Drosophila melanogaster: one gene and its partner. Changing the gene in region 2 together with the main gene of any one other region gives a genetic interaction. Each region holds a gene or a part of one and is shown on either strand. Other genes may lie near its edges.

Evidence for each region. Genes that interact genetically often act in the same process or in processes that back each other up.
Region 1: of ple (region 2) and Ddc, changing one enhances a phenotype caused by changing the other (phenotypic enhancement), as found in Drosophila melanogaster (one study listed by BioGRID).

The regions. Positions count from the first base shown.
Region 1 is NT_033779.5:19,115,941-19,121,892, forward strand, and holds Ddc (dopa decarboxylase), read right to left. Parts: upstream 4,367-5,952; 5' UTR 4,170-4,366; exon of another isoform or gene 3,535-4,169; 5' UTR 3,478-3,534; coding exon 3,379-3,477; exon of another isoform or gene 3,302-3,378; coding exon 3,216-3,301; intron 2,189-3,215; coding exon 841-2,188; 3' UTR 543-840; downstream 1-542. Other genes in the region: CG10561 (uncharacterized protein), read left to right, coding at 1-472.
Region 2 is NT_037436.4:6,713,519-6,721,335, forward strand, and holds the start of ple (pale), read right to left. Parts: upstream 6,008-7,817; 5' UTR 5,556-6,007; coding exon 5,487-5,555; intron 4,498-5,486; coding exon 4,386-4,497; intron 4,155-4,385; coding exon 4,035-4,154; intron 3,909-4,034; coding exon 3,816-3,908; intron 3,432-3,815; coding exon 2,612-3,431; intron 2,317-2,611; coding exon 2,190-2,316; intron 1,851-2,189; coding exon 1,452-1,850; 3' UTR 1-1,451. UniProt on the Drosophila melanogaster protein: Plays an important role in the physiology of adrenergic neurons.

The sequences.
Region 1 (5,952 bases), on a different chromosome or scaffold from region 2:
AACGCTTCTGAATCCTTCCGTGGAGCAGCAACCCGAACGCAACTGGACGCAGCAGGTCGTGGAGATCAGCCAGGTGCCCAGCAGTCAGCATGTGCTGGAGGTGCATGTGGGTGGCGGATACTACGAGGAGATCGAGAAGCTGCCCGATGAGGAGCTGCTGGAGCAGATAACTGGTCTGCTAAGGCGCTGCGTGAGCAGTCACCTGGTGCCGTACCCACAGGAACTGCTGCGTTCCAACTGGAGTACGTCGGCCTGCTACCTCGGCGGTCGTCCTTACTTCTCCACCAACAGCAGTGCCCGGGATGTCCAGCGACTGGCCGCTCCGCTGGGCGAGAAGTCGCCCGGTCTGCTCTTTGCTGGGGATGCAACCTCGTTGAGAGGCTTTGGAACCATTGATGCCGCCAGGTCCAGTGGCATCCGAGAAGCCCAACGCATTATTGACTACTATCTGAAAAGCGTGCACTGCGGTTAAGTGCAATGGGAAATCCGAATGGGCTGCTAAATTGTACAGTGTATATCAACACGAAAACTAGTCAAAATTTATAGTTACAATTCGTTTGTATTTTTAAGCAGAATACATTTGTTTTAATTAGGCGCATAACGTTAACAATAAAAATCATGAACAACATCAATGATACAATGATAGGATACTATAAATATAATGTAGCGATGGACGAACCATCTTTTGTTGCGATGTAAATTCCCTAAACATGTCGCAAGTGGAAAGTGTATGGTCTGTTCCGGGTTCCAAGTCACAATGCATTATATATCATACTGGTCCAATTTAAGTTTACTATATTAATTTATATACTAAACACGGAACAGACCTGCACAACCACTTTACTGCTCCTGTTCCATCTCGTCGGCAGCGGCGCTGACCTCCTTCCACGAGTACTCCATGTCCTCGGACTGGGTGAATCGCGAGCAAATGGCCATGCGCAGGAAGTAGACATCCTTGATCTTGGCGGGAACCAAGTGGATGTGGCCGCGTCCATTGATTCGCTTGAGAAGAGCTTCGTTCCGCTCGTTGCTGCCCTTCAGCCGGAAGCAGACCAATCCCATATTGATCTCGGCGGCCAGTTCAAATCTGGAGTCCGCCACGCAGAGATCCCCGAACTGCTTGGCAAAGTTGCAGTGTCTGCGGATGTGGGCCTGGAGATTCTCGACACCGTACAGCCGGAGGACGAACCAGAGCTTCAGTGCCCTGAATCGCCGTCCAAGTGGGATTTGCCAGTGACGATAGTCCGGAGCTGATCCCTGCATGTCGTGCTTCAGGTAAAGAGGGTCCACATTGAACGCGTTGACCACCCAACTGGGATCCTTCAGCCACATGGCCGAGCAGTCAAAGTTCACCAGCATCCATTTGTGTGGATTGAAATTGAAAGAGTCTGCTGATTCGATGCCCTTCATCAGGTGGCGATACTCGGGGCAAATGAAAGCGGATCCGGCATAGGCAGCGTCCACATGGATCCACAAATTGTGCTTGTTTCCCACCGGTCCACACTCATCCAAGTAGTCGAAGGCGCAGGAGTTGGTGGTGCCCAGGGTGACCACCGCGTAGAAGGGAATCAAACCCTCGGCCACATCCTGTTCGATGGCCTTTTCCAGGGCAGCACCACGCATTCTGTGATTCTCGGACTGCACGGAACGGAGCTTTACTCCGCCCAGAAGACCAGCCCGCTCCACGGATGAGTGAGCCTGGTCCGAGCAGTAGCCCACCAACTTGCCCAAGATGGTGTGCTCATCCCACTCCGGATGGAGCTCCTTCACCTCCTTCAACTTCTTGGCCTTGGCTCCCAGCAGAGCCACCAGTGTGGACTCACTGGCCGTGCCCTGGATGACACCGCCACCCTTGCCGCCCGAACAGGCCAGGAACTCTGCCGGCAGCTCCAGCATCTTGCCCAGCCAATCCATCATGACCACCTCGAGTTCCGTGCACGCGGGACTGGCGATCCACGTGAATCCGATGCAGGCAATCGCTCCACTCAGCATGTCCGCAACGATCGCTGGATACGAGTTGGCCGTGGGGAAGTAGGCATGAAACTTGGGACTGTGCCAGTGTGTCACGCCCGGCATGATGACTCGCTCGATGTCCTGCATCACATCCTGCCACTTCTCCGGCTTCTCGGGCGCAGCATCCGGAATCAATGGCTTCAGGTAGCCAGGCTTCACTTCCGGCAGAACGCGCCTGTAATTGCGAAAATTGCGTTAGCTTCTGATTGCATTTTGGCGCCCATTCAGTAAAAGCTCCTTGCTAATTGGCTGCGAAACTCAGTTAGCCAACAAAGGCATCAGGAATCATTGGGGTTGAAGGACACCCATCCAACCACCCCCAACTTGTTGCCACTGCCATGAAAATCAATACGAATATGTAGCAAATTGCTATGGGAACAGAATATAGATAGAGAGGCAATGCTGATAATGATGGTGGGATTTTCTATCCTTTCAATTAAAAGGAAGTACTACTAAGAGGTGAAAAAAGAAAATAAAAAGATAATTTCTCTATATATATGTATCTTCAATTAACAAAGATTCGTTTAAAAAGTTATCTAACTAAGAAAATAGTTTTGAAACTTCAATGTCGAAGGAACTTTAATAAAGCAAAATGAATTATTATATTACGCTCTACTTAAGCTTGATTTTCAATTAACCATTAATTTCAGCGACTGTCGATGGGCAAACAAACTCAGCAGCTGTAGTAAGAAAATTGTTTACTTAGCTGACTTTGATTTTCAAGGTAATGGAAACGAAGCCGTTAGAAGAATTGCCCAAGAATAGTGAAATACCCGAATTGCTTTTGGCCAAGGCGTTAGCAGTGCAATTATATCTATACTCGTATACATGAAAAACGACCTTGACACGCCAACTCAACAAAGCCATTTAATTAATTAGTTTTCGGCCCAAGAGCAGCGAAAGTACTTGGCCCTCGAGCTAATGGGAAGGTCGCCTCAACCCCCTAAACAAAATGATATATATATATAGATATATATAGCAATGGAAATGTCCGATCGGTGCGACTTTCCCGTGACTAATCTCAAAACGTGTGCGAAATGTCATTCACTTGCCCGGGGATTCGAATCGAGCAGAACGAACTTTCGATTCGAACGTAAAATGCTGAGGTCAAGCGACTGATTCTGATACCATATAAATGAAATTCATACGCTAAATTAAGTTTAATTCAAGCTAATTGAGTAGGGAGTCTTAATCTGGCTCACCTTTCGCGTATATTCTCCAGATATTCGGCTATAAAGTCGACCATTGTCTTGGCAAAATCCTTGAACTCCGGCGCCTCCATGTCGATCTTGATGTGGATGCAAAAGTATTTGGTTATCAGACGTGCATAATTGTTGGCTCTATACCTAAACCCAATAGACATACCGAAACCTTGGGATCCAGCTTATCCGGCGAAATGTTAGCTTTACCATTACCATCAGTTTGTTTTGTTGGAATTGTGTTACTAATGGGTATGTGGCTCATTTCAGAGATTTACTTTTCGTTTGACTTTTGCAATGATATGAACTCGAATGGTTAGAGCTAATATGAAAGAATGTGCGATTATTGAAAGTGTTATTAATAGAAGTGCGTTTTTGAAGATAGTGCTAATCAGTGCAGCAGCTCAAACAAAAAATGCTATCGCTGCAAACACGACAAATGAACGACATTGAATACTAATTACTTGATAGGCAAAACGATGATGATAATAGTTATAATAATAAGGTATTAAGGTATTAATAGTTTAAAGCGTTTTCCCATCGAGTGCGCTGCTTAAGTATAGGCTGTGAATTAGTATGGTAATTAGAATGTTTAATGCATTCTTGCATTAATCAAGACTGCTTTATTTTTTTTTTTTTTCTAAATTCCAATTTTAACAACGTAAACAAGTTGGCATTGAGACGACGACTTGTTGCCAGCTAAAATCTTATTTTAATAGATACACAAAAGCATGCAGATACCGAAAGCCGAGAAAAGCTTAAGCACTATAGAATTCGGGGCCCGAACTATCAAATTGAACCGAAGCAAGGCTATAGTATATGCCCAGTTTTAGATACACATTACGTATACGCAGCGTTAGCCCCGAAATGAATCTTTCGCATGCACATGCACTCATTATGTTGGCCAAGCACTTCAGGCAGCTGAGGCTGTTGAGGAGCCACACTTTCGTCTCTCACCGTTGCACTTTAGTTAACTGCTTTTAATTGTTTGCACTTGTTGCCGAGCTTTACTTCCGTTCCGAACTAAATCTTTGCTCCAAGTTCAGTTTGCCCTCCTGGTTTAGAACAGCTAATATTTATTTGCTGATATTTCGATGCTGATATTTCGGTGCTGATTGCTGTGCGCTTGGCGTTCTCCTCTTAACTGAGCGCTGCCCGCTCTTGGCCATGGCTTTTAAAGCCCGTCCAGCAGCGCTGCCAATTCCGCAGGACCGGTTCAATCGCAGTCCGCAGCCGCTGAACTTCGAATCGCAGCCGCTGTCGTAAAAACAAATTCAGCTCTCGTTTGATTTGTGCACGTTTTTTGACACTTTTTTGGAACATGCATTAATTGGGCGCTGAATCAGTAACTGGATATCAAAGGCTTTATTTTCCATGGATTTATTTAGAATTTAAAAAAATATATATATATACATACATGCAAGCTATTACATTTTATTTGCCAGCTCTGTGAACTTAATTTGATTATTTTTGAAATTAGTTTGAGAACCTAGTGATATTTAAAACAGCAAGCAAAACATTTTGAATTCTACTCACGTGCTTCCCAACTCGAATTTGTGGAAAGAGAGCGATCTCGTCAGGAATCCCCCAATTATGAGTCACTCGAAACAGGGTTTTTCTTGGACTCCCCGAAGAAAAAATCACGCAAAAAAATGTAAACAAAGTTATATTCGTAGGAAAGACAAGAAATTGATTAAGCCGTGGAATGGCACGCTTTACGCGCATCTTGGAAACCGGTTATTAGAGCACCACATATGACGTGCTTTTTGAACCGCTCATGGAATTGTGACGTCAAATAATCCAATGCTCTCACTCACTTTCGCATTGTGCTAGGGGAAGTGGGCTAGGTTGAGCCTTTTGAGCGGGCAGTTCCGCATACACTGAGAAAAATTCAAAATTACTATAGAAAGCTAACGACTTTTGGATGCCAGTTACTTGGCCGGAATTTCAAAATTCAGTTGAAATATCAATAGAAATTGGCAAGAAACAATAAATATGTGGCTTAAATGTTTATGCCAAATATATCGAGAGATATAATACAAAAATTCAAAATATTTTTCAAAACTGTTTTCGTGACCGTTTTTTTTTTTTAAAGTTCCCAAAATCTCGAAGTTTATACGGACAGACAAACATGGGTATATCGGCTCGGCTAATGATATTGGAATACGACAGGAAAATCATTATCTTCCTTTAATTACTATTTAAAAGAATCAAGTAAACACTTTTAGCCTACGACAAAAGAAAATAATTTCTTTCAGTGTAGGGCTGCTGAGAATCCTGCGGGTGGTCCAACTGTTGCTGAGTGCGAGCAAAGTGCGTGTGCCTGACATTTCAACGAAGCCACTTTGGCAAATCACTTGGCTGAATCAACAGATTTATACGCCATGCCAACGGCTCTGCTTTCGATTTTAATGCGCTGGGTGCTCCACCCACACGCCAGCCAACAGCCACCAGCCACCAGTCGCCCAACTACCCACCCACATTATGCTGCTTTACGGGTGGCTGGAGTTCGGGTCGATTGAGGCGAAGAATACTACAATTTGATTTATGACCATCTTGAGTTGCGAATGAATGCGAAAGTATTCTCCGCTTATAGGGGTCGAATGGCGCCTTTGAGAGGGGGATTGCATAAACAGGCATCATATGGGGTAAACAAGGGCCGAGATAAGCGAGCGGGTGTTTGGTGTACACATCACATCGCTGAGCTTCAATAGGTCACGTATTTTGTCTAAATCTATAT
Region 2 (7,817 bases):
TGGCTTGGGGACCAACTGCGCTTTAAGTTGATTATATATATAGATTTATGTGCGAATATAATTAGTAATTAGTTTGGCTAATTGCTTGCAGAAATGTTAACACTTGGTTGGCTTTCGATCCAATTGCAACTACAATACATCGAACAATAACAATAAAATTCCATGCTACGTTAACTATAAATATGTAATATTCTTGATCCCAATGTTTTACTTTGTTTACTTTGAAATATTTTGATTTTAATTACTTTATAATAATACATATGTATTGGTCCAAGGTTTTTCGTTATTTTATATAATTTCATCAAATTTGTGAAATATTTTCTACATAGCTCGATTTTAGTTCACATGAGATTCACTTCTTCTCACCCATAAATATATTTATCATATTCCTCGATTCTACTCATTAATTTTAAATAAATATTCCATTTTGATGTCATAAAATGTTCCCTAAACAGATTCAGACTTTAGAGTTTCGAATTGCCAAAGAAGATAATCAAATGAAAAAACCAAAGAGTAATTATTTTTCAATTGCATTTTTAATTTTATTAATACACAAAACTTAAATAAAATAATAATGTTTAAACTCTACATACCTACAATACAATACGTAATAGTCATAAGTATAATAATAGATAATAATAATAATAGTACACAATAGTAATATTGTCGTTTACAGTTATTGTACAATGTAAGAAAATTCTGTTTTGTTTTCCATTTCATTTTTTATCTTTTCCGTTTTTTTTTTTGTTTGTTTTCCATTTGTTCCTTGCTCGATTGTTGTATCTATATCATTTTTGTTTAGAAATACTCTCTCTAAATGAAGCTTCCTATACCGGGAATACTATATCGCGTGTCTATATAGTCTAGGTAAATATTGTGAGAGGCAAAATGAAGATAATAATAATACAAAAACAATTTTTGTCTGAGTATACAATCGGTTTTTGTGTGGTACTTTGCCTACTAAGTGCGGATGTATCTGAACTTTGCTTTCCCAGCTTTTCACTTCACTTAATTCGCTTTGCTTTGCTTGGCTTGGCTTGGCTTTGTTTTCACATCACTTAAACGTCTAAAGATTTTTTGGTCCAATAATAGTTGCGGTGATAAATATGCAGGTTGGGTGGTGTATCGGGTGATCAACAAATAAATATGCTTGATTTTTGTGTTTTTTACCATGTGCGCGATTCGACAATTACAACTTTTCGATGACAATTAAATAAAAATTAAACAAAAAACAATAAACAAAAAATAAAAAATAATGCGCGATGCCTTAATTTTGGTTTAAGGATTACGTGTACGAGGGATTGTGCGGTATGTCAATTTAAAATTAATTTGTATAAATGAGACCGTTGCACCTGTATGTGTATGTTTGGGTGGTGGGGGTGGCTGGTGTTTTTTTGGGCGATGTTTTTGGGTGCTTCTATATATCATACATATATCTCCCCCCCATCCACTTAGAACGGGCGTCGCAACTTGGAGATGGCGTTGGTCAGATGCAAAATCTCCGTGTTCATCTGGTGCACCAGAGTCTCCAGCTTGTCGACGGAGTCCAGCACCTCGACGCGCTCGGTGTGCGGGTTGAAACGCACCTCGAATGGACGCGACATGGTGCTCACCCAGCGACGGAACTTGTCCTTGGCATCCTCGAAGCTCTCGGCCACATAGTAGATGGGCTGGTACTCCTGATCCTGGTAGGGCTGCACGGCGGTGGATGCGGGCTCGAAGGCGCGGTGCTCGCACTTGTCGCTGATGGCATGGAGCAGCTCACCGTAGGAGCTCAGGAGTCCAGCACCGTAGGCCTTGATCTGACCATGTTCCTTGCAGAGACCGAACTCAACAGTGAACCAGTATACCTGTAGAAATGAAATGGTAAGGAACCAATGAGTAAATAGGAAGGAAAATAAAAGCAAAGGCAGATAATGCAGGAAGTTGTATGACTTATAAGATCAAGGTTTTCTGAACTTAAAAACTTATTTAAAATCACAATTAAGTGTTTTGAAATGCATTAAATTGTATCTGTAAACTATATGAATAAAAAGAAAAAAATTATTCTGGCATTGAAGTTCACTTTTCCTCTTCGACTTTGACAGTGACTAAACAATGATCTTGGTTGCGAAAAAAAACTAGCTGCGTCATAGCTGCACTTGAGTCTAAGGTCGTTACATTGCAACTCAATTAGAAAATCAACTCACCGTGGACAGCTTCTCGATTTCTTCGTCGGAGGCACCCAGCGAGGCCAGTCCAATCTCCTGCGAGAACTGGGCGAAGCTGGGATCGGCCAGCAGGGGCATGTGACCCAGCAGCTCGTGAATGGAGTCGCTGTAATGGCATAGAATAATGCTTGTTAAAAGTGTGGAAAATGTGCTGGCATAAGGCAATTAGTCTGGTTAAATGAGCTGGGCAGCCTGCCGCAGTTCCTGTAGCCAATTTGCCTGTGTTCCAGGCGACAAAAGTTGCTTGGGAAAAGCGGAAAAGGAAACCCAACCACCCACACACACACAGAGGCAGGCGGCAGGCAGGCAGGCAAATGCAATTAGGCTAGGACAAAGAGCCTTTTTCTCCCCTTTTTGAAGTGATTTTAACCCCCTAGTAAAATATGATGATAGATACTTACGGCTCGGGGGTGTGGTATGGTGAGTTAACGTGGCGCACATACTGGGTGCTCTGGAAGATGCGGAAGGCCAAGGAGGCAAGGAAGTCCCGGGCAGTCAAAAGACCGGCGGCAGGACGGAGAGAGAATCCGGTGTTCTTGCGCAGAAAGTCGGACATCTCCTGCAACTGGGGCAGACGGGTCTCCACGAAGATCTGCTCATCCTGGAGCTTCTGGAAGGCGGCCCGGTACTCGGCACAGGCGTGCTTGGGAGCCAGATCCTGAACGGTCTTGAACACCGAGCGCCAGGTCTTGACCTCCACATCGGAGTAGTCGATGAATGGGATCGGGTCTCCGTACTTGTAGGCGAATGCGATCTCGGCAATTTCCTTGCGACGCTGGCGGTATACCTTGTCGGCGAATCCGGGGTGGTTCATGTCCAAATCGGGCTCGTACTTGGTCATCAGATGGTTGCAGTTATCCAATTCGGAGGCGTGCTTGGGGAACCACGGAGCCTTGACATTCAAGTTATTGTCGGCCATCAGATTCATGCTGCTGAAGGAGCCCGACTGCCTGAGGGAGCGGATCAGCTGCAGCAGATTGCCACGGGTCATGTCCAACTTGATGAGGACATCGTGGTCCACGCCCTCCACGCGCGACTGACGGGACTCCACATGCTGGACGGTGCCGTGGAAGGTTTCGATGGCCTTGAGGATGCGACCCAAGGAGGAGATGCCCTCCTTGAGGCGGACCACCAAAGCGGCACTCTGCATGGCAGCCTCGGCATCCGAGGATTCGGAGGCGGCATTGGCCAACAAAATCTCGTCCTCGGTGAGACCGTAATCTGCAAAAGGGCCAAAAAAAAGCGGGGATAATGTGATGGTTAAGGATGCAATCTTCCAAGGCTTAGGGTCACGTAAACGATAAGCGAGCTACGTGGCAGTGGCAGTGAGACGGTTGCCAGGCAAACGCATTTCGTACTTGTATTAAGTCGAGCGTAACAAATGAAAAAGGGAAATGCGACATTTCCACAGAGAGAGAGAGAGAGAGAGAGAGAGCGAGCGAGCGCGCCCACTCACAATTGTCCGTGTGGCTGAGTGCTTTTCCTCTGCCCTGGCACTTTATCATATTAAGCACTTAAATCAATGTCGCACGCTTTTCAAAAGCCCCTCTCAGAAGTTAAGTACTACTTATGGTTGGCTGCTGGATTCTAGAACCCCCTGCTCACCGTTCTTGGTCGGCTGTTGGTTGCCTTCTGGCTCCTGCGACTGCGACTCCGACTGCTCCTGTTCAACGCTCTCAAACTCAACATCCTCCTCAACTAAAAGCGAATGAAATAAAAATAATAATAAAGCCCATGAAAATCATAATCAAAATCAAATCAAAGATAATAGGCTCAGAAAGAGGAGTAACTGGCATGGGAATTGAAATGGAAATGGATATTAACCTGGAACATATTCCTCCAAGGGCAGGTTCTCCAGATTGGCATGCTCGTCCTGGAGCTCCACATCTTGCTCGGAGGGAATGTGCTCCTGAGCCTGCACAATGCAATCTTCCAGGGAATCGTCTTTAAAATCATAAAAATAAAAACGAAGGCAAATAATAAATAAAGGGTTAAAATGAATAAGAAAAAAACGCAAATCTATGTCAAAACGAATAAAATGAAATAAAAATTGCAACTTTTTAAGTTTTTAATCAACAAGTAAAGCCCTAGCTGCAAAATTTCCCTTTTGATCCCAAATAGAAACCCTCTTTGGAGCTATTTTAGTGACCCACTTGTTGGACCCTATCCACTTACCATTTGCCTTGCTGCGGGCCTCCTCGAGGACGGTTTGTTTGGTCTGCTTGACCACCAGGGTCTCGAAACGGGCATCATCCACCAGGCTGCGACGGCGGGATGGATAGCCATTCTGGAAACGAAAGCGAAAAGATTGAAGTCCGTGTTAGTGACACTGGCAGGATGTGGAGCGGAAATTAGACGATTGCCTTGACCTTCAAGCCAGGGTGGCTTTCTTCGGCTCCACGCTTGGGTGGTGACTTTGAGCAGAGTATTGCGCAATTTTGAAAATATTATATAAAATGGTGTGTGAAAGCGCCGTCTTCAGATCTTTTTCTTTGAATAAAGCTGGCTATTCATGGAACTGTATTGATTGTGATTCAAAGCCACGAATGGTAATTTAATGCGATGTCGCCGCTTCGAAGCGGGCAGGTGCGAAGATAAATGATATGTGACTGAGAAATCGAAAATCCCCATGCGATTCTGGCGGGAAAAAAATGCAACTGGCGATCGTTAAAGGTTTTTTTTCTTTCTTTTTCTTGATGGGGGGAAAAAGGTTTCCATCACTTGCAGTTTTCACTGTCAGCTCGTTTTTTTTTTTTTTTGTTTGTTTGTTTTCTTCAGTTTTTTTTTTTGGGCCACCGCTTTGGCTGATGAAAGATGACCAACTCATTGAATCATTTATATTGATTTCATATTTTTTGTTTTGCTCGGACGCAGCATAAACATAAACAGAGACGAGTCAACAACAATGAGGCGCGACTGTTTCGGCCAGGCTAAGTGCATGGGGCCCAAAGGCAGCCACTTTCACTTATTTGTTAAATAATAACTTAACACACAACCCGTTGTGTCCGTTGGCGATTTGGGCCTTTCGATTTGGGCCGCCTGTTCTTAGAGGTGTGACTTAATGGCCAACCGAGGATTGAGTTTGGTCAAATTGAATTGGCGAAAAAGAAATGCGGGATCACAAAAATGGGCTCGACTACTGGCCGGTTAACTGGTTTTTTTTTGAAAACACAAAACCTTTAGATAGTCACGTAGACCAAATCTAGTCACTCATTTGCTTCTTTTTTTTTACAATTCGATTTGGAAATTGTATGTTTTGCTGGATTTTCGACTCACCTCAATACTGTAGGATTTCTTGATGGCGAACATCTCGCGGTTCTTTTGGGCTGCTGCAACGGCCATCATTTTTTTTTGTGTGTTTGGGTTGTTTTCGTTTGGGGTGAACAACAAAAATTTACGCAAAGTGTTGGCAAAAACACTTAGAATACTATTTGCTTATGTGCTTGGTTACGCTTTTCTTGTTTGATTTGCAATAAGCACTCGAAATGTGTTGACACTTTCACTGCTTATTGGCGATCTGGCTGGGTGGTTTTGTTTTTCAAGAAAATCGCTCCTGGTACTGAACTGTTTGCGTCTAGAATTGAGCTGGACAAGAACTCTCGACTCTCGAATTCACGGCGGGATATATAGATGGTTGATCGGTTGAACTTTAGCTGGATCCTTTCGCGAACTCGAAACTGATGTGGTGATGTGTATTATCCTTGTCAGCTAAATTGTATTACAACAAACAGAGTCAGCAAACTACTTGAGGCTGGGCACAAGTCTTTAGGGCGAATGATAGCGAATCAATGCATGCTTCATGTCGAGTTGCCGCCGCTTAAATACCCCCAGATTCCGATTCCGACGGCCAAGTTAACGAACGTTTCGGCCGATTGCCGACGATTGTTTGCTTCACCAAACGACGATGACTGGTTTTCGCATGACGCGACTGTGACGTAGTTGCCCAGCTGTAGCTGGGTTAAAGCCAAGATGCCGATGCCGTGGGGTTTCCTCTCACCAGCCAGCTAACCAGCTAGCCAGCCAGCTGAGTGGGTCGAGAATCGCGGGGCCTGACTCGACTCAACTTGGTCGACCAAGTTCAAGTGCGGCAACAGGCTAGAACGTCGCATTGGCCATGTTTTTGTTGCTCTTGTAGCTTGGCTAAAAAGCGGGGTTAACCATTAGCGCGTGCGCGTCAATCGGAATGGTGGTAGAATACCCCAAAAGTATTCAGTCAGTCGAACGGGAGTCATTTGAAAAGCCTCAACAGGTCATACAGAAAAAACCAAAACAAATCCAAACAAAGCGAAGCTAGTCCATGCCAAATGTTAAGCATACGCCGTGTGTGCACAGAGCAAAATAATGAAAATATATGACATTCTTACTCTGTAAGTTGTTTTAGGGAAATGTTTTTAACCACTAGAATTATTTTAAAGAAGTAGGTTAAAATTATTAAGAATGTTTTAGACAATAAAAGCACCTTACGTTTATGATACGTTCCATTTTTCTAGGTGTAACAACAGTCGAAGATCTCGTTCAGTTTTAGAACCCAGCAATTCGCATTAGATCCTGAATGACTCAATCGAATCGCGTCAGAACTAGAGCGGATGCTGAAGCGGATCGTATAGGGACCAAGTGAAAGTGAGCTGGAAAACAAAGTAATGGTAAACAGGAAGTACGGATCACATGGCTGCGTGCGTGCCCGAGATGTAAGTAGGTGGCACCCAGCCATATCGATTAAATTTTAAAAGCACATTTAACAACTAATTTGCATGCGTAAATGTAGCACATTAAACTAAGCCCGGGCGATAAGTACAGGCACATTACAATATCTATGGCATAATTGAAAGCCCCGTCAAAACATCTGGCGATTGGGATTTGCATATGGCAGCTGACGGATTACGAGACCGACCATATAGCAATCTATATAAATAATTATATATATATTCCTGTCCTGTAAGCTGATAACGTTGGCAAGGCTGCCGCCGCTTCTCAAATTGGACTCGGGCCGCCAATTCGAATGACATTTTCAGTGGCAGTGGCAGTGGCAGCATTATTTTCAATCGTGTTAGCTTTTAACCAAATTCAGTTAGCGGCGATGTCGAGATCGAAGCAAATTTGCCATTGATCTACATATGTGCACTTGTACTTGCCAACAATCCGGTCATCCTTGCAGCCTGCATCTAGCAACTAACTAACTAACTAATGCCGATGTTAATGCGGACCGTTCAAATTAGTAGATCGAATCGTTTGATTGAGCTAACGAGCCCGATAATGAGCTAACACATCACATATACGTCTATTTGCTTCGATCCGCATTAAGTTATTAAGGCATCTGGAGTAGCAAAAACATAATTATCGATCTGATAGATCCATTATACAAATTGGATCGATAGAGTGGGATTGGTGAGTTAATAAGTTTGTGGGAGCTAGGAAATACATTTGACAACATCGAAAAGCTTTTTACTTAGAATATCGAGGGTAATAATTAATAAATAGCACTTACTGGAAATAACTTAAATTATTTAAAAAATATAATACTATCCAACTAGCAGTAAACTGCGTACTATATTACCCATTAGTCACTGGCAAAAAAAGTTCCCACATTAGCCTTAATACCACATTCAC